Linked DNA regions of Oryzias latipes. The protein of the gene in region 1 interacts with the protein of each later gene in a biochemical or structural test. Links are inferred from orthologs where the notes say so. Each region holds a gene or a part of one and is shown in the gene's direction. Other genes may lie near its edges. The genes, in order: pex19, ATP-binding cassette sub-family D member 1-like, ATP-binding cassette sub-family D member 2, pex13 and abcd3.

Region 1 (4,081 bases):
GACTCAAAACAAAATGTTAAAAATTGTATTTAGGAGATTCATACTTTGGTGCAACAACTCTTCTCAGGCATAATAGTTAAATGGTGGTTTTAAACGCCATGCTCTGGTTGTACCCACAAAAAATGTGGCAAATCTTCTGTACCTATAAGAAAAATCTTCTATCGCATCTTTTTTTTTTTTTGGTGCCTCCCGGTGCTGCCAGACAGCTGAGAGCATGGACTCTCCTACAGGGGTCAGTGTCTGCTCCAAGCATCAGATAGGTGCCTCATGATCAGCATGACACTTTTCACTACTACTGATTGGAATGTTCGTGTGCTGCAGACTGACTTCCAACTGTTGTGCTGCCAAACCATGTTGCAGTGTTTGGAATCACACCTGTCTGCACCCTTTAATGCTTTAATGTCCAAAACCAAGCAGGAGCCGTAACGTCCCACTTTAATGTTTAGATAACTACTGTGTGACTATTAAACCATTCATTGATCAAATGTATTTTAACATTATTTATATAATGTTTCAGGTATTAATATTGACAGAATCATACCAGTCCTATATTTTTCTAAAGATAACTTTTGACAGCAGAAAAGCAAGTTCTTTTCAAAATAAAATACATCCTGTATCAACTGAGGTCCTCTTGCTGCTGTTGCAGTTTTACTTGCAACTATATACGTTTAAGAACTGTAGGACAGCTGAAGATAAGAATATATGATTTAAATTTATTAAATAAAAAAACAGTTCTAACGGTAGATTAAACCTTTAAGCATCATTTTGCCAATATTTATCTGACGTTTGCATCTTGGAGGAGTGGTCAAGCTCCCAAAGCCTCTTTGTAGTTTCATGACAGCAATAGTTTAAAAATAAGACAGTTTTCTATGCTAATTTAAAATTTTGAGAGTGCCAATAAACCCATTTATTGCTAAATGCTAAAAAGAACTTAATATACAGATTACATTAAAATCTCTTTTTTAAAAAGGTGTATAGATATATATTTTTTTTACTTCAAGCACATTTTGAAGACAAATATTTCCGAAAAAGACTCACTTAAGTTGCAGAGCATAAAACTGTGCCACTGAACTTTTGATTGTTACGTTTTTAAGTTGATGAAACGGTCGGTGGTCACGAAAATGAGGGACAAAGCGTCACATGTTGATCCTCCTGCATGTGATCCGCAGAGAAAAGCTGTTATGCCTACTCACGCCACCAGGTGGTGCCAGATTTCGGTATGGGCTTGTGACGTAGAGTATGTGCGACGTTTTTTATAGCCAGAACGTCAATTTTGTGAGACAAAGCTGTCTTAGCATTATGGCGTCCGGAGGAGAAGAGGTGTCCGGTGGAGTAGACGCAGAACTGGACGAGTTACTGGACAGTAAGTTCGTCAGGAAGGAATATTAGGTTCACCCTTTTACGTGTCTGTCTGTTGCTAGGAAGATTTCGCTGCTTGGACACTTCTGATGACCGTGTATAAGCTTCAGGTGCTCGGTAGCAGTGACAGTTACCAAAGTATCGCTGACTGACAGCTCGCACGGGCTTCAAAATAAAGCCAGTTTAAGCCGTTTTCAAATGTTTTTGGATATTAATTGTTTAAAAAAAAGTGGATTATAGAGATATAGTTTATAGAAAATGTTAAAGAGGTGTTGTTATTTTTTCAATATTACAATATTGTCAAAATTTTCAGGAACATTTTATTGTTGTTTTTTTCCTTGTTGATTTATAAATACTTCTAATATGTCATCTGTGGTTGCTTTGTGTTACTTTTATAGTTTTGTCTTCTGCTGTATTCTTAAATGTTATTGTTCAGGTCTAGTTTTAAAATAGAAATTATTGACAAATAAGATAGATAGATATCTTAACTTATACTAGGGATGTAAAAGAAAGATACAGATGTTCATCAAAAAGGGATCAAGCACAGAGAATCGCAGTAGAATTGGTTGAAAAACCACAGATACAAACAAGTGTGGGTAAAAATGTGTTAAACTGTTCAGGAAGTTATAAATTCTTCTGATAACCATTTTTCTCACATCACATAAAACAATACATGAATAAATTAATATGACACCTTTTTATTTAAGAAACGAAGCAGCCTACAATGCAGGTTTAAATATTCATTGAATGAATAATAAATATTCAGATTGTATTTGTTTAGTCAAAAGAATTGGACTTTATCCTGTCGCCACAAAGTTAGTTGAACCTTTTATGCATCGATTCATGGACCAAATATTGAGATGCGTCTACTTACTTATCATTTTGTCAGCTTGACCTCTTCACTGCTGCTGCATTTTATGTTTATTATCTGATCAAAAGTAAAACAGACTGACCATCCAAACAGAAACTAAACAATTACTGAGCTGAAAGTATTGCTTTTTTTTTTAAGGCAATCGATCAAATATTTCATATATTGCTTGGATAATAAATGCCTACTGCTGTGTCTTTTTCCTTTAGGCGCTTTGGATGACTTTGACAAAGCCTCCTCTCCTCCGGCCCCTGAAGCTGCAGCAGCCTCTTCCTCAGCCAGCAGTGGTGCAGAGAAGGTCTGTGTCTGCTTCTGTTCATTAGGATTCAGCTGCCTTCTGCTTGGACTGAAAGACCCCATCAATAGTACGATCTTCACAAGTCTTCCATTTCTGCCTGTAGCCCCCCCTGCTTGAGGACTGCAAACTCTTTGAGAGTCTCTTTGAGGGGGACATGGCGACCCAGGCCAGGGACGAGTGGGAGAAGGCCATGTCCGAGCTGGCCCAGGAGGAGCCAGAACTGCTGCAGCACTTCCAGAAACTGTCAGAGGCAGCAGGCAAAGTCGGTAAGAGGAGTTATTTGTTGTGAATCTTTGTTATACTGAATGTGTCGGTCTTGCAGTCTAAGTTGCGTGTTTGCTCCAAACAGGGACAGACACAGCTTCCCAGCAGGAGTTCACTTCCTGTCTGAAGGATACCCTCCGTGGCCTGGCGAAGAATGCAGACAACCTCCAAGTTGGCTCCTTAGACGTAAAGGAATATTGGTGTAAAGCTTTTGAAGGAAAATAATGACAATTGTTTTGTTTTACCCAGTCTTCAGGTCTAGCTGGAGATGACCTGGTTAAGGCTCTTGAGGGTCTTGGGTTGGATGAGGGTGGGGAAGGGGGTGGAGACGATGGGAACATCCTCCCCGTCATGCAGTCCATCATGCAGAACCTGCTCTCTAAAGAAGTGCTGTATCCTTCTCTCAAAGAAATCACCACTAAGGTCTGCAGATGTTTCCTCTGAACCCATCAGACTCTGAATCCACTCTTCCAGCTTTGACCGTTGACGTCTCACCTTCACAGTACCCAGAGTGGCTGCAAGCAAACAAGCCCAGCTTAAGTGCAGAGGACTACCGCCGCTACGAACAGCAATCCAAAGTCATGGGAGATATCTGCAAGCTCTTTGAGGCCGAGGAACAGGGAGTAGAAAACAAAGAGAGAACTTTTGAGAGCATCATGGACCGGATGCAGCAGGTGATGCAGCTTTTTTCTTTTGGGACAATATTTACAATTGATTTGTTTATTTAAATTTGCTTTTTATGTTTTCTGTTTTGACATCATCCACATTATTCTGAATCATAGTAAAAGTCACAACACATCACTTTTTCGACGATCCAGCTGCAGGATGTCCATCATTTATGGATGTGATGGTTGCAAAGCTCTTTTAATATCTTTAGGGACTGTTGATGGCTAAACTGTTTCCCTGTAAAACTGATTTTAAAAAGGTCACTGAACACACACTGTTATTGCCGTTACGGCTAACAAGCAGCATTTAAAAGTTTAGATATTGTAAGCTCAAAAAATACCCTTCAAACACAAATTTCCCAGTTATTATCTTCTTACAGAGATAATAACTACATTATAATTATATTATAATTTATACTATAAATTAAGTTATTAATGTAAGCTTATTAAAAATGCGCCTTTAAGCATATCCATGGACAAAAAATGTTGTGTTTATTAGTTCAAACATGCAAGGTTTTTGGTTTTTTGGACAGGAACTCAACTGTTTTGTGTTTAATTATCTCCTTATAGCTGCAGGATCTAGGCCAGCCACCCAAGGAATTGGCAGGAGATGTGGTAAGTTTGGCT
Region 2 (4,051 bases), on another chromosome or scaffold:
GTTTAGGTCCAGAACTTTTAGGGCAATCTGCAGGAACAAAGTCAGCTATAAATCCAGATCCAAATTTAGAACAAGGTCCAAACCCAGGTTCAAATCTGGATGCGGGTCATCAAAGTGAAGCAATAAACAGAACTGCAAGTTTCAGTTTGGACCTTAAACAACTTCAGGATGAAAAAATAAATAAAAAAGACAATCAGACAATGATGTCATTGGGTTATTGATTTGTTTTCTGATTGACCAGTTCATCAGATGGCTTGATCCAGTTTTTGTACAAAGTTACAGTGGACTGACTGTTTTTATAATTTATTAATGAATGACTTTACAGCTTTGTTAGTGTTATTGATGTTGTTATTGACAAGACCGCATGTGCTACACACCTGTGCTGTTTTATTAAACCTCTGCTGTCCTACACACCTGTGTTGTTCAAGCCTGAGCTCTTTAACACACATTTGCTTTTTAATAAACAAGTGCTGTTTAAATCACCTGTATGACTTATTCGTCTTTGCTGTTTAGCTCCCATTCACTGAAGCAGAAAACAGTGCAGTTGCAGGTGTTATGCTGGTACTGTCCTGTTCCCGTGCTAACTCTCATGTCATGTGGTTGATTTTTGATCAGGTGTGGCTTGTCTCCTTAACCCTTGTGCTATCCTAGGCACTTTACCATTGGGAGTTGGGTCATCTAGACCCACTACACAGTGCTCTGAACCTTTTTTCTTCAATGATTTGTGATCTTCACTGGTGTCCATGGATTACATGAAATCTTTCCACCTTTATCATGGTAGGGAGAACACGTCAAAGTAAGGGTTGGGGGGGGGGGTCATCTAAGACAGCACAAGGGTTAAACACAATCAAAAAAGTATGTGTGTTTGTTAGTGAGGCTGAATACTCGAAGTTGACTAGTTTTATGGTCTCCATGATGCTACATATTTTTATCAGCACGTGGAGCATTTCCGTTTATCTTTGGACTTGTACCTGTTTCTGGCGGGAGTGGCCCCGCCTGCAGGGGGCAACGCGGTCATCAGGGGGCAGAAGGCTGCGCAGCGCACGGACTCTAGGCTGGTACGTTTTCACGCGGCGGGATTTCCGTGTTTTACCACGAAAAGATCAATATTCCCGCCGGTCACTGTGTTATTACGTCATTATTCGCGCCGACAAAGACGCGGCTGTCACGCGGCTGTGTGTGTCGAGATCCTTTCGAGGGGAGGGTGTGTGTTTGCGCGCGAGTGTGTCTCTGTGTGCGTGCCCACCTGACCTTTCCATAACGAACCTGACCCCCGAACCTACATTTATCTAGTGAAAGTTCCAGGAGGACCAGAACCAGGTCTTACGCCTGCGCGCCGGTCCTAAGGTTTTGTCCTTGACCGGGTCAGAACCTACAGGTCCGGGTAGGAGCGGGCTAGAGGAGAAGCCGTACAGCCGGCTCCGAGACGCTTGAGAGCGCTGTAAGGTTCGGGACTACGGTTCGGTCCGGAGGGTCCAGTTGTTGAAGGCGGGGTTAAAACCGGAACTGTCAGTTCCTGAAAGTTCCTGTTATCCGCTAGCTGTGTTATTACCGCCGCTGACAACAGGTCCGGTCCGGGAGGGTCCAGCTGGACGGTGCGTGTCTGGGCTCGGGTGGGGGGTGGTGGTGGTGGTGGGGGTTTGGAGACAGGGGGAGAGAAAGACAGCTAACGGGAAGTGCGACGGACAGGTTACGCGCACGCGCGGTAAAGTTTTCCCCCTGCCACTCGTTTAAAAGTCAGCGGACAAAAAAGTTCTGCCGAAGGTCAGTCCGACCCAACGAGCTCGGTTCTGGAATTGTGGGTCAGCTGCTGAGTCCATAACGGACTAACCTTCAAGCCTGTCTCGGTTTCTTGTGTTCACGTACGCGCACGCGCTCAGAGTCCTGCTGAGAGAAACCTGGAGTCCGTTTGGACTCCTTTCTGATGGAGGTTCTCTTCATGTCCTCTGGGTTCTGCAGTCAGGGACATTCTGTCTCACTGTGACGCATTTGTTATTGCTGTGAGTCCCGATCGACTGTCCCATTCTGGACCCGATCAGCATCAGCTCTGTGGAGACTCTGTCTGTGGTTCTGGACCGGTTCACCTCTCTGAACAGTTGTGTTCAGAACCTGCCTCACAGATGACATAAAGGTCCACTGGTCTGCAAGTGTGATGTAGCCTCTGACCTGTCATGTTCTCACCTGTGCAGGTGGAGGCAGACGGATGTCAACATGTGTCCTTGACAACGACCTTTGACCTCTCCTTGTGGCCGGCCCTCTGACTGGTCCTGCTGATGGCTTTCAGCATGCAGGTGGCCTATGAGAAGATGCCAGCTCAGCTGAGGCGGAGCTCCAGGCTCAGGAAGCTGTCGGCCCTGCTGCTCGCCGCCTATGCTGTCCGCAGACTTTCTCCGTACCTGTGGAGACGGTTGCAGGTGAGGCGCACCTGCACAGACAGAGGACACAGCGCCGTTGAACCGGTCTGTCTCAAACTCGCTAGAACTTTATCAAAAGAAAAGGAATAAAGGTTCAAAATGTACTGCTTGGAGGGAGTTTTTTTGGTCCACATGCACTCTTAATTAATTTAAGCTAATCTGGTTACATATCTGGACTGAATTAGAGTCCAAACTAATAAAGGGTCGTCTTCCTTGTGTAAAGGCTTTGACTTGACCTTTGCTGTGAGCTGGAGCTCCATAAATAAACTGATTAGCTTTGAGTTCTTGAAATGTTCATAAAGTGTTTTGCTCAAAATAACCGGTCTGACCTTACTTTAACCATCATCACACATAAGTACAACATGCATTACTATTGTACTATTCACTTCTACCATTTGTGCAATGCAAAGGTTTTATGATTCAGATTGGCTAAAGCGCTTGCTTCAACTAAATGACAGTTTGCCTTGACGTTTAACGTCTATCAAGCTTCTTATTATGCAGTTGGATTTGTTTACAGAGACTCATCTCCTTCCTGTTTTCACATGGATGGTGGCAGAGACACATGCTTTATAAACAGTGTAATCGAGTATATTAACATATTACTTGTAGTGAAATGCATTACTAATACATTAATTCTACGCTTGACACGTTCAGTAATGCCTGTATTACACCCATTGACTGTAAATGAGAGCCGGTTGAGTGACTCCTCCCCCTCATGTTCCAAACAGGAAGTGGTTCCAAGAAGCCAAAATCCTTCTATAGAGAAATAAACAGCTGGTACTCAGTCATTCTATTGTTCAGGATAAACATTCTTGTGCTGATGCCTTTTTTTAAACATGTTCTTTTTAATGCTCTTTTCATTTTTGTTTCTGTATTAAAAGTTATTCAAGTTTATAAACTGACCAATTAGATGCCTTAATGAAAGTATGTGGTCTCACGTTCAATATTCTAACTGATTGACTGACAGATTGTCCTGAGCCGGCAGGACAATCTGTACATCTACATCTGTCATCATATTGGTGGTAGGGGTGTGGACTTTTAACCCTTGTGCTATCTTAGATGACCCCACCCTTCCATTGACGTGTTCTCCCTACCATGACAAAGGTGGATAAAGGTGGAAAGATTTCATGTAATCCATGGACACCAGTGAAGATCACAAATCATTGAAGAAGAAAGGTTCAGAGCACTGTCTAGTGGGTCTAGATGACCCAACTCCCAACGTTAAAGTGCCTAGGATAGCACAAGGTTTAACAAGCCCACTGTTGACTCGACCAACTTGGACCAATCACAGCCACGAATAAAAAGATTTGATCATTTGCAACGTTTGATTGAAAGATTTTGTGTAGCCCGCTTTTCAAGCTTCCTACAACCTCACTCCTGATTCACATGGACTTAAAGAGCCTAGATCATGCTGTTCGTAAGCCTTTCAGATAAAACTATATTCATATATATGATCATTTTTTACCTTTGGCACACTTAAGAACAATTTCTTAAACAAAATAACTGTTTTTTTCCTACACGGAGGTAACCCACCTTTCTCTCCTTGAGGGTGTCGCCCGTTTGATGACGTCAACTTAGAGCCGGCCTCAGCAGCGTTTCTATATTTTGCCCACAAAGACAAGCAACAGCCGTTCCTC
Region 3 (4,230 bases), on another chromosome or scaffold:
AAGTTCCCGTATTAGCATAATTTTAAAAAAAGGTTTTGGTACAAAAAGCATTTTTTCTTTTATGCCACAGAGATATTTAGAAGATTATTCTAATGCATAATTGTGGCCTAACACCATCTTACCTTGGTTTGCTTTCTTGGTAGCGATCTGGTTAACAATAAGTAAAGTCATCAGGTCTGTGCTCCCAGAGCCAACATTTCCAGACGAGGAATTTGGAAGATTTATGCCCAACTTCTTCAATTTTTGCTCCATTTTTTTCTTTTCAAAAAACTCCTAAGACACACAAAAACAAAAAATATAAAGTATTACTGGGCACAACCTACTAGTTTAGTTTTTGAAAATATTTTCTTTGCAGGTTGTCTCACCCTCTGCTTTTTAGCATTGTTCTTCATCACCAAGCGGTTCCTGAAGTATTGATCATTTCTTGGTCATTTAGTTAGCTCAAAGGCAGTTATGCTAAACTTTACTTACCTTGAACCTCCAACCCAGTTCATGTTTAAAGACAATTTATGGACAAAATGTCACTGGAATTAGCTAAACTGTAACAGGGCTGTAATAACCGCCAAAACAGGTGGATACCGATTGGCTAAAAAAACTATGACGTCAGAGAACAACCGTTAGATGAGAACGAATACATTCCCAAAGATCGGGTTATAGTTCGGTGCCTTGTGGAGGCTTTTTAAATGTATATACCGGTAAATTGTGATACTTGCTTTGCTGTATTTACAGAAGTGAAATTAGAGTGAATGTACTGTTAATACAGCAGAAAAGAAGCGTTTATAACTGTTGTCGTGGCCAATAGAAAACAAGGTGCTTATTTCATAACAACGATACTTCCGGCGGTATGGACTCCCCTCCGGTGGACGGAGAGTACTAATACACTTCACATGTCATTGTCTTATTTTTATTTTTTATTTTTTTTGGCACGCGGCGCCGTTAAACCAAAGTCTTGAGGCAGACCAAACAAATAATGACGCAGTTCCCAGCGCCACCCGATTGGAGGCGCTATTGCCCCACCAAGGCGCTGAAAAAAGCCTTAGTAGGCGTAGCTTTGGTAAAAGTTTTTATTTCTCTCAAAAAATAGGCTAACTGCGCAAACGGACAAACCCTGATGGAGTCGATTCTGGAGGGGGTTTCTAATAAAGAACCGAGAGTGTACATAAAGGCAACACGAAGAAGAAGATGATGCTAAAACCGGAAGTTGAACTGTTTTATCAAATAAAAGCATAGGTGGAACTCTACTGCACTGTCCTGCTCTCTGTGGGGACGTTTAATTTTGGTGGAACAACAGGAAGTGCAGCTGTTAGCTAGTTTACCTTGCTAGTCTCTGATACAAAAAGGCGTCCGGTGTAGCGGTACATGTCTGGATTCACTCTACGCCAACTTCCCTCGTCGACCTCGGAGGATGGACATCATGCGGCGCGTTGGCGGAGAACACTAACACTCAAAGATGGCCAACCTCCTCGATGCGGCGGCCAAAGTGAAATGGGACCGAACGGCCGCGGCGAAGCGAGCCGTGTTCCTGGCGGCCGCCGCTTACGGCGTCAAAAGCCTGTATCCGATCATCTGGAAGCTGATCTGCAAAAGCAAAAGTCCCCGCAGCGACTCGCTGGCGGAAACCACGAACGGCGTGCCGGGAAGAGCTCCCAAAAGCGCCGGGACCGGAGCCAGAGCCTCGCCGGGGCTGAACGCCGAGTTTTTCCATCAGATCCTGGAGCTCGGTAAAATCCTCTTCCCCCGGCTGGTCTCCAAAGAGCTGTGCCTGCTGAGCCTCCACTCCGTGGCGCTCATTTCCAGGACGTTTCTGTCCATCTACGTGGCCAGCCTGGACGGGAAGATCGTGAAGACGATCGTGGAGAAGGAACCGCAGCGCTTCATCCTCCAGCTGGTCAAATGGCTCCTCATCGCCATCCCGGCCACCTTCGTCAACAGCGCCATCCGGTTCCTGGAGTGCAAACTGGCCCTGGCCTTCCGAACCCGACTAGTGGACCACGCGTACCGGACCTACTTCACCGACCAGACCTACTACAAAGTCAGCAACATGGACGGGAGGCTCGCCAACGCGGACCAATCGCTCACGGAGGACGTGATGATGTTCTCCCAGTCTGTGGCCCACCTGTACTCCAACCTCACCAAGCCCATCCTGGACGTGGTCCTGACCTCCTACACGCTGATCCAGACCGCCAGGACGAGGGGGGCCAGCCCCACCGGGCCCACCCTGCTGGCCGGGGCGGTGGTGTGCGTCACGGCGATGGTCCTGCGCGCGTGCTCGCCCAAATTTGGCAAACTGGTGGCGGAGGAGGCGCACAGGAAGGGCTTCCTGCGGTACGTGCACTCCCGGATCATCGCCAATGCCGAGGAGATCGCCTTCTACAGAGGACACAAGGCAAGCAGCCGTCTGGACATGCATTAATGCAGATGTGCATCTGTGTCCAATGGTTATGCCGTTTGAACAAAAAAAAACAAGCGACGTTACTGCAGAGCAACAGTAGTTTATTAGAAACTTGCCTCTTGAGTCATAGCTTGCTGCAAAGCAACCCCGGCCCCCTTCACCCAAAATGAGAGCTTTCTGTTTACACCAAAGCCTTCCCAGTGGTTTCTTGTTCGTGAAAATGCAATTTCTACACAAAATAAAAAAACCTGTGTTGTTTTCTAGGACATAGTTTCTGCAGAGTGGCAGTGGGTGGCGCTGCTCAATCCCGCCGCCCCTCTTCCTGTCACTCATAACTGAGAGCTCTCTGTTTCCATGCCCTCCTGCTAGTATTAGCCACTCCTACACCATCTAGGCCTGCACAATAAAATCCAGAAAACGTCAGCATCTTGATGTCAGACTGTGCGAAACACGTTTAGCAAAAGACCGTGATCAACGCTTACCTTAGATGTTTACACACACGCACAGACAGGGTTAGGAGAAACCATCCTGTTTTTAAAAAGCCCAATGCTTCCTACGTTGGTCTAAACCATAGTAGTTTTACTGTCACAAAGGTAGATAGTTGTTCTTTGTCTTCCCTGTGTCCCATTCAGAGAAATTGCAGTCTCTTATTCGTGCTAAACTGGGATTATGAAGTTGTTTTTCCCTCAAGTCTCATCATCATTGCAATAGTGATTACTAACATTGGACGTTTTTCTCATTTTGTGCAGCCTAACATTAGTGGGACCAGCTGTAGTCCTGCAGTCCAGTTCTGAGCCAGATCCAGTTCAGACCAGGATTTAGTCGTGAACAGCTGGATGAATCAGGATTAGACCATAAATGTATGATGTAGACGATACATCAGCGGGCCACGAGCTCTGCTCCATTCTGATTCATTTGCATGTGGACGGGCTGTACCACCAGCCGAGCAGGGAGCTCCTGCCCCCCCCCCCCCAAGCTCATTTTCTACCTAACAAATAGGATTGTTTTCAAACCGCATATCTGTCTTCACAACGATTGAAACAAAGAGAGTCAGAAATGCGTTTTTCAGTTGTCTTTACTAGCATGTCCTCCATCATCAGAGAACATCTGAAAGCCATTTTCCTGGCAGTGCGTCTGAAGGTCAGGTGTGTGTTGCAGGTGGAGATGTGTCAGCTGCAGAAGTGCTACAAGGCTCTGGCTGACCAGATGAACCTGATCCTGTCCAAGCGCCTCTGGTACATCATGATCGAGCAGTTCCTCATGAAGTATGTGTGGAGTGGCTGTGGACTCGTCATGGTGGCCGTTCCCATCATCACAGCCACCGGATTTGCCGACAGCGGTAGGGGAATCCACAGTAAACCCCCTCAGTCACTTTGCTTCAAGTTCAGTCCTCTTCTGTTGTTCCTGTTGAACTGTGTGCCGTAAAAATCTAGGAGCCTTTGAGGAAAATGCTGCAGGGCACGACTTCTGACAGAAAGGCATTGGTTCCCTTTCATGGGGGAGGATTTGCATCCGTGAAACATGGTGGTTAGCCGCTCTCACAGCAGGAAGCAAACCTGGGTTTCATGATCGTCACAAGCCTTTATGTCAATGCAAACGTGCCGTCATGCCGTCCTGATGTCACGCGTCTGAGCTATCGGTCCTGGTTCCTGTGTGTTTGCAGAAAAGGTGGATGGACAGACGCAGGTCATGGTGAGCGAGAGGACGGAGGCGTTCACAACGGCCCGCAACCTCCTGGTCTCGGGGGCCGACGCCATTGAGAGGATCATGTCCTCCTACAAAGAGGTATGAGCTCATCCCCAGCCCTGATGCTATGAAAATAAATGTCCCTAAACAAC
Region 4 (4,213 bases), on another chromosome or scaffold:
TTGCTTCAAGGCTTACTCCTGATGTTTCTTCAGGTTATTGAGTCATGCAGCACAAACGATATTTTTATATATGATGTTTTACAGTCAGGAAGGGACTCTTGGTTTGCTTTGCTACCACTTTTCGATTGAGTGGTAACTCAAGTCCAAAACCAGGTCACAACAGAAAAAAGCTTTTACAAAGCTCTTGCAAAGCATCGCAGGCAATCCCACCAAACCACTTTGTATCAGGTATCTTCAGAACTCTGGCATCTTCTCACCAGATGACACTTAGGATTCCCACCTTAATCTAGCAAACCAAATACCATGATGCCACAGATGACGGAGTCGGCCTCACACGCCCACACTGTGGGGATGACACAGAGCTCGTCTCTGATAGAATGCGAATCGACAGCTCTGCACGCGCTCCCCCACATCTCCTGCCTTCACACTTGACATCACAGAGACTCCCTCTTGAAACCACAGCTCACTTTGCACACACTGAGGCTCTTCAGAGCAGCCTTTTTCACCACTCCCCATCTCAGCTAGGGTTGACTGACGTTGGTTAGTGGGGGGGCAAAGAACTGACATCAGATTTTCACTGTTCGTCCAATGAAATACATGCATGTAATAAAGATCTGGATGCAGTTTTAAGCTTTTGTGATCAATTTAAAGACATTAAACACTTGATATGTAAGCATCCCTTCATGGCAGTTAAAAAAAACATGAACAATATTGAAGTTACTTTTGTGGACTAAACATAAGTTTCATACTGAAACTCCTCTTTCAATTTGTTGTTTTTATTACTAAATAGATCAAATAAATATAATGAACATTTTGAATATTGTTTTAAATATATAAAAATGTATTAAAGTCATTACATCGTTCATAAATTATTTATTAATATACATTATTTTGAGGTTCAAAATTTATGAGAGAAGAGTAATTGATTTTGTCATTACCCATCACTTTTCTGTTGATTCTTTGCGCCCTCTGGTGGACAAAGGTAAAATGAGATTTTCGGTGGATTAAAATGATCAGACAGTACTAATCGAGTTGATTTCATCGATACGCCCATATTTTGAATAATTTAAATAATAAAAAGCAAAAATTGTTTTAAAAAAATCTCTATACAAATTGAATAACATAGTAAGATTCAGAAGTCCCGAAGTGTTTAGACCGGTTTGGATTGATTTGTGGTACGAATATCAACTAGTCTTGCCTGACTTGCTGTTTTCGATTGCTAAAGTGGTACCTTCAATATAAATTGGAAATTCCAAAACGATAAAAGTAAACTACCTAGTAAGCTAGTGTTTCATTTGTTGAAATAACCATTATTGATCAGCCAAAGTAAAACATGTTACATGAAAAGCCACAAAAAAGAGAATAGAAACATACAAAAATATTACAAATCAAATCCCTTAGAATAAAGAAAAAAACAAGGAGTTCAGGAAGGCAACACGGCAAGTCACAGGAGGACATCTGTCATCACAGATATTTTTTAGCTAACCATCACAAACTTCGCGATGGATTCACAGCCCCCACTCAAACCGTGGGAAAGGCGAATTCCTGGGGGTATGAGCGCACCTATAAACTACAGGTAAATGAGATTCAGGAAGTTATTTGTAGGGTTATTAGTTGTTGTTTCGAAGTTTTCCTAGGTAGCCTAATGCTAACGTTGCTAAAGGAGCTACTGCTAAACAATTACAGAACAGAACGAAACACCATATGAAACGCTGGTTAAAGCTATTACTGATTTATAATCAGGATAGTTGTATCTAAGGTACACTAGTTAATTTCAAATATGTTTAAAATTCGTCTAATTGTTTTTAGACTGTGTTTTTAGACTTGTTTTAGTACTTGTTGCTACTAGTTTGCATAGTAGCCAGGCCCCCGTAGTTGCCAGATATTTGTTGCATTGCCTTAATAAACGCAAAAGTTTTGCTATGAATTTTTTGAAAGATATTATCTTTCTGTTTGATTTTTTAATAGTAGCAGTTTTAAATCCATTAAGAACGAAAAAGCAGAAAGTCTTGTTATTTTGCTCAGATTTCTTGGTTGTCCTGCTGGTTTAGCTCCATCACTTTCTTTACACACAGATCGACAGACTTTGGACCAATTGCAGGCTCCTCCATTCCTGCTGGCCCTCCAGTTCTGACCAGAATGGCTCCTCCAGTGCCTGCTCGCCCGCTCCAGCAGTCATACCGCCCATCCTATTCCTCTTTCACCTCCTCTTACAGCCCCTATGGAAGCTCCATCTATGGGGGTTACAGCCCTTACAGCTATGGCGGCGGTTATGGCGGTGGCTTCGGTGGCAGCTATGGTCCGGGAGGGTACAGTCGTTTACCCCACACAGAAGAAATCGCCCCCAGCCGGTTTGTGCAGCAGGCAGAGGAGAGCAGCCGTGGAGCCTTCCAGTCCATTGAAAGCATCGTCCAGGCTTTTGCTTCGGTTAGCATGATGCTGGACGCCACCTTCTCCGCCGTGTACAACAGTTTTCGTGCCGTGCTGGACGTAGCCAATCACCTAACAAGGCTGCGTGCTCACCTCACTAGAGTTTTGTCAGCCTTCGCTCTGGTGCGCACGCTGCGGTATCTCTACCAGCGTTTGCTGCGGCTGCTGGGGAGGAGGTCAGATGTGGAGGACTTGTGGGCTGACAGCACAAGTGATGCTGTGGTGGCGGGTTCCTCCAGGGGATATGAGGCAGGAATGGATGAACAGAGCGTGAAGTCCTGGCCTATTTTCCTCTTTTTTGCTGTGGTTCTGGGTGGACCTTACCTCATCTGGAAGTTGTTGAGCTCCAGCCCCAGCTCTGATGAAAATAGTAAGGCTGGCATTGAATCCTTAATTTTATTGGTTTATTTTTCCGTTTGTTTGAAGAATTTACAACAGAAGATCATAAAAACACCAAACCAATGACCACAGTGTGGAGTTGTCGATTAAAGTATTATTCATTTAATAATACTATTCAATTATCTTGATGTAATCGTGTTTCTTCTACTTGATGTGCTCAATAGAAATGTTGTTGTTTTTTTCAGGTACAAACTGGGCCAGCGGGGAAGACGATCATGTCGTGGCTCGGGCTGAGTATGATTTCTCAGCAGCTTCTGAAGAAGAAATTCCTTTGCGGGCTGGAGACATGCTAAACCTGGCCCCTAAAGGTGAGACCTTCCTCAAATGTGTCGTGATTAATTAAAGTATTCCATAAAACTGCCTTTATTAACAATTGGTATATTTAAATTCTGGTTGCAGAGCAGCAACCGCGGGTGCGAGGCTGGTTGCTGGCCAGTGTGGATGGCCAGACAATTGGACTGGTCCCAGCTAACTATGTGAAAGTCCTTGGCAAGAGGAGAGGCCGCAAGCACGCGGAGATGGAACGGCTCGCTGAGGTCCAGGAGGAGAACCAGCGGGCCTCTCAAACACCAGCAGCTGCGCATGGTTCCACTTCAGATCTCTCCACAGCCTCCATGGCTCCCTCGACAGACCACCTACTAGAATCAGTATACAGAGAAATCCCAGCTGCCTTCGCTCTGGGAACATCCAACTCCAGCATGAGCTCTGACACAGTGTTGAATATCCCTGAAAAGACGGACCTGTGACGACTGTGTGTGCATGTGTTGCATTTACATCGTCTGTCAGTCAGTTCAAGTTTATCATTTCACTAATCAATTCTTCTGTAGGTCTTTGATTTCATTCATCAGCACAGTTTTCCTCTTAAAGTAAAATGGCTCAGAATCGTTTTTGTGTGAGATGATGTGTACTACATCGTCTTTGTGTTCTGTGAAGTCCAATTATGGGATGCATTGATGTATGTTAATGGGAAATGTAAAAGGGTTGTTGATGTCATGATATACATGTGAGGTTTCACCCTCAGGTGAAGCCGGGTGGACATCTGTAGGTTGTTGTTTTTTTTTGGATCAAGTGAAATTTGATTCACTCAGAAATAAGAAAGACTAGCTTTGCACATTTTAAAGTTTGTTAGTCCAATGTAATTTTGTAAATACTTAAAATAATTATTTTGAAAATAAATCTAATGGATTATTTTTTGCAGTATTAATCTGCAACCAAAAAAAAGCACGTCTTATTTTATTATTTGTGTCGAAAAATGTTGCGTGCGTGCGTGTGGAAATGACAGCTCTGTTTGATGTACGACAGAAATTTTGGATTTACGGTTTTCGTTTCCAGGCAACAGGACGCCCTTGGCTGCTGCAGTGCGACATCGGGGGCGACTCCGCAG
Region 5 (3,511 bases), on another chromosome or scaffold:
GAGCATCAGTCGCTTTGCAGAAAAATCTGAACAGTGGTTCAGATGACTTAAGTCTCACTTTAAACCGTTGCCGCACACATTGCACACATGTTGGATCTGTGTTACTAATGCCCCTCGCAAAGAGTGCAAACTCGTCTGCTGTTGCTTTAGGATTTGCTGATAATCCACCCAAAATATTTGCACCTGGATAACAGGTGCAAACAAGATATTAAAAGAAGGACTGCTGAAGGTTTGCTGTTGTTTGCAAACTTTAAGTCAAAACAATGCAGAGGAGCGATGAGTTGAAGTTGTGAGATGGTTGATGCCCAATAATAAAACAGACGGCAGCCTTTAAAGATGATCTGAAGCCTCAAATCCAGAAGCGGTCTTCTGTCATATGAGCTGTGAGGTAAGACACTTGGGTCATTACAGAAGACCCACTCTGCACCTGATGATGGTCGATGGTACCCTGGGAAGTGTAAGGCGGGGGTTGAGGGTTCTCAGCTGCCCCCAGAGTAAAGAAGCTCTGGTGTTGTGGAGAAAAATGAAAGAGATGGAACATGAGGACTGGGAAAAACTGGAAAATAGAAATGACTTGTCAGCAGTATAAAAAATTCTATGATAACACAGTCGATATTTTTTGTGGCAGGCATGCAAATATCTGATGTTCTAAAGTAATCTGACCAATGGCATTGGTGACAGATGAAGATTAAAACCAAATCTCTTGTGTTTGCAGGGTTCAGAGCAAACTCATCCCTGCAACACTCACTGCAAGCATGAACGAAATGCAGCCAAAAGTCTCACATCTCAGTAGCTCTCATTTAGAAGATGCTGATGTTTGTGTGATAGTTTACTTGCGTTATGTCAGTTTCAAATCGGTGCTTGCAAGTTTTCTTTGGATGAAATGTTCTGGGGTCAGAGTCTGAACCAACAAACTACACCTGTAAAGTGGTCAGTTTACCTAAAATGTGTGGGCTGAATGAATATACACTGAGAGCCTAAAGAACGTCAGTTCTGCCCTGGAGATTACAGGGAAGTCTGCAACAAGTCCGGTGGAAAGCCATGCATGCATGTATGTAGATAACTTTGTGATGGAAACGGAATGAAACGGCTAACCTGATCATGATTTGTGTTGTGAAGGTGACGTCGGGCAACAACGTTCTGGTGTGTGGACCTAACGGATGTGGGAAAAGTTCTCTGTTTCGAGTCCTTGGAGAGGTAAGAGTAGTGGTTTGGAATGGAGCTTATCTGAGCATGCTCAGTCTGCACACTGCACCACAGACATGACTTCAGCTTCCTGTCACTGACAGAGTAAAGCTCTGTCTCCACTAACTATTTCATGGGTTCTGCATGTAAACAGGACCTGGGTTTGAACACTGGAGTAGCTGCTCCACTTCATCACTCTGTACATGAATTCAGCGGAGCGCCACAGAGAGTCTCACAGGGGATGGGAGGGTGTTACAGTGATAAATGATGTAGAAATTGTTCTAAGCAGTGGAGAGGTGTAATTACATGCTTCACTTCAAAACTCGACCTGATGGAATCACAGAGGCCAGTGTGACTTTTTAGAATCATTGGATCTGGAACTGTACATTCACACCGACGTTTAGCATATGGCGTTCACACTGGACTGTGGTTACACGATACTAGAGAGGCTTGGTGTGAAACGTCAGAAACGGTGCCAGTCTTGTGAATTTGGCTTTAGGCCTTTTCTTTCACAGCTCTATTCTGATTTATGAAAGACTTTGTGTCAATGAATTCCATCTGGAAACAGACTGCAATTATTCATTTCTCCTCCATGATCAGTTTTCAAGTGGTTGGTATTTGGAAACTATCCATACGTCACTACCAACTCCAAGTCCCTGACTGGCGAAAGTTCATTGGCAGAGCCCAAACTGGTGGAAACCTGCACAGCTATGCGTGAACGTGAGAGTTTTGAACACTGAAGCCCGAAATAGGCATATACGTGCGAACATTGGAAGACGTTGATTGAACATGCATTGCTGCCAACAGGAATTCACCCACTGGACACTAAAAGAAAAGCTTGAAGGGAGTTCTTTGAGTCTCCCAGTCTGTTTGGATCTGCTGAGATTCTGTTACCTGAACTCAAATGCAGAGTGAATTACTGACCCGTGGAATCTCCTGAACCTTTAGGCCTTTAAAACTCCAACAGAAGCCTGGAGCTCAGAGCTTTGGTAGGCCTCACATGTCGCATGGTCTTCAGGCTGTTAAAGCAGCTGGGAGGGAAACGGCTGAACCGTGGAGTGACAGGAGAAAGACTGGTCCTTGAATGCAGACGTAGCTAAGTGACTTGTGTTTCTTCTTCACTGTGAACAGTTGTGGCCTCTCTTTGGCGGAGAGCTCACCAAACCAGAGCGAGGGAAGCTCTTCTACGTTCCTCAGGTCAGTCGGTGGTTGAAAATAGAAAATCTTTAATGAGGCATTAAAAAATAGCAGCCTTGAACATTTTCATTTTGAACAACGTTCAGACTGACTTTATGTTTACTTTCATAGTTTTTTTGTGTATCAAAGACTTGCTTGTTTGTTTTCCCTGAGTTCGGAGATAGAAGGCAGTATAATAATCTGATTTCTCTGAAAGTTGTCCGAGCAGCCTGGGAACTGTCCGGAATATTTCATTCCATTGGCTGCTGTTTCCACAGAGACCCTACATGACTCTGGGCACTCTGAGGGATCAGGTGATTTACCCCGACACCTGTGAGGAACAGAGGAGGAAGGGCATCTCTGATCAGGTTGGCCTTCGTTCTACCTTTGTGCTCTCCTCATCCTCAGCTGCTCTGATGGTTATGCAATTAAACCAGACAGTAAAGAGCTCGTCATCTGCTGAAAAAATAGTTTTATTTTTCAATCGTTCATTCCCTGAGTTAAAATGTTGCAGATGCTGGGAGCTGCTGTCAGAGGCAGCTGCCAATCAAACTTGGCCCCGCCCATTCTGACTATTTCTGGAGTTGTGTGCGGAGTAAGCTCCAGTGAAGTTCACTCATCAGGTTCTGATGGAGGACATCAGAGGGTCTACAGTTGAGCTGAGCTCAGTATTGATGAAGCTGCATGTGGATTCTGGATTTGGATCTTGATGACATGCAGACAACAGATGGCATCTTTTTTTTACATCAGCCGCACTTTCTGAATCAGTGTTGTGTCGAAGTAAATATCAAGTAGTGTCAAGAAATATTTTTGTGTACATCTGTGTGTAGGTTTTGAAGCAGTATCTGGACAACGTTCAGCTGGGTCACATCCTGGACAGAGAGGGTAGCTGGGATTCGGTCCAGGACTGGATGGATGTTCTCAGTGGAGGAGAGAAGCAGAGGATGGCTGTACGGACCCTTCCCTAAGCTCAGTCGGACTGTTAGTGGATTTTTCAAAGTGACTGATAATTGTGTATTTGTGCAGATGGCCAGATTGTTCTACCACAAACCCCAGTTCGCCATCTTGGACGAGTGCACAAGTGCAGTTAGCGTGGACGTGGAGGACTTCATCTACAGTCACTGCAAAACGGTGAGGAGCGACAGAAGCA

Evidence for each region.
Region 2: the proteins of pex19 (region 1) and ATP-binding cassette sub-family D member 1-like form a complex in vitro, tested with the Homo sapiens proteins (3 studies listed by BioGRID and IntAct, with this or other methods). The link is inferred for Oryzias latipes from reciprocal best matches to the Homo sapiens genes PEX19 and ABCD1.
Region 3: the proteins of pex19 (region 1) and ATP-binding cassette sub-family D member 2 form a complex in vitro, tested with the Homo sapiens proteins (3 studies listed by BioGRID and IntAct, with this or other methods). The link is inferred for Oryzias latipes from reciprocal best matches to the Homo sapiens genes PEX19 and ABCD2.
Region 4: the proteins of pex19 (region 1) and pex13 form a complex in vitro, tested with the Homo sapiens proteins (2 studies listed by BioGRID and IntAct, with this or other methods). The link is inferred for Oryzias latipes from reciprocal best matches to the Homo sapiens genes PEX19 and PEX13.
Region 5: the proteins of pex19 (region 1) and abcd3 form a complex in vitro, tested with the Homo sapiens proteins (4 studies listed by BioGRID and IntAct, with this or other methods). The link is inferred for Oryzias latipes from reciprocal best matches to the Homo sapiens genes PEX19 and ABCD3.

The regions. Positions count from the first base shown.
Region 1 is NC_019875.2:3,245,576-3,249,656, reverse strand, and holds the start of pex19 (peroxisomal biogenesis factor 19), read left to right. Parts: upstream 1-1,271; 5' UTR 1,272-1,299; coding exon 1,300-1,363; intron 1,364-2,436; coding exon 2,437-2,525; intron 2,526-2,628; coding exon 2,629-2,791; intron 2,792-2,874; coding exon 2,875-2,975; intron 2,976-3,038; coding exon 3,039-3,212; intron 3,213-3,292; coding exon 3,293-3,463; intron 3,464-4,024; coding exon 4,025-4,069; intron 4,070-4,081. UniProt on the Homo sapiens protein: Necessary for early peroxisomal biogenesis. Acts both as a cytosolic chaperone and as an import receptor for peroxisomal membrane proteins (PMPs).
Region 2 is NC_019865.2:30,246,651-30,250,701, forward strand, and holds the start of ATP-binding cassette sub-family D member 1-like, read left to right. Parts: upstream 1-1,249; 5' UTR 1,250-1,595; intron 1,596-2,189; 5' UTR 2,190-2,273; coding exon 2,274-2,414; intron 2,415-4,051. UniProt on the Homo sapiens protein: ATP-dependent transporter of the ATP-binding cassette (ABC) family involved in the transport of very long chain fatty acid (VLCFA)-CoA from the cytosol to the peroxisome lumen.
Region 3 is NC_019881.2:636,232-640,461, reverse strand, and holds the start of ATP-binding cassette sub-family D member 2, read left to right. Parts: upstream 1-1,421; 5' UTR 1,422-1,450; coding exon 1,451-2,386; intron 2,387-3,550; coding exon 3,551-3,731; intron 3,732-4,055; coding exon 4,056-4,177; intron 4,178-4,230. Other genes in the region: c23h12orf40 (uncharacterized protein C12orf40 homolog), read right to left, coding at 123-273, 366-405, 472-494.
Region 4 is NC_019873.2:7,361,720-7,365,932, forward strand, and holds pex13 (peroxisome biogenesis factor 13), read left to right. Parts: upstream 1-1,405; 5' UTR 1,406-1,502; coding exon 1,503-1,576; intron 1,577-2,075; coding exon 2,076-2,800; intron 2,801-3,014; coding exon 3,015-3,137; intron 3,138-3,228; coding exon 3,229-3,575; 3' UTR 3,576-4,050; downstream 4,051-4,213. UniProt on the Homo sapiens protein: Component of the PEX13-PEX14 docking complex, a translocon channel that specifically mediates the import of peroxisomal cargo proteins bound to PEX5 receptor.
Region 5 is NC_019878.2:5,064,014-5,067,524, forward strand, and holds part of abcd3 (ATP-binding cassette sub-family D member 3), read left to right. Parts: intron 1-1,119; coding exon 1,120-1,197; intron 1,198-2,316; coding exon 2,317-2,382; intron 2,383-2,639; coding exon 2,640-2,729; intron 2,730-3,191; coding exon 3,192-3,311; intron 3,312-3,387; coding exon 3,388-3,492; intron 3,493-3,511. UniProt on the Homo sapiens protein: Broad substrate specificity ATP-dependent transporter of the ATP-binding cassette (ABC) family that catalyzes the transport of long-chain fatty acids (LCFA)-CoA, dicarboxylic acids-CoA, long-branched-chain fatty acids-CoA and bile acids from the cytosol to the peroxisome lumen for beta-oxydation.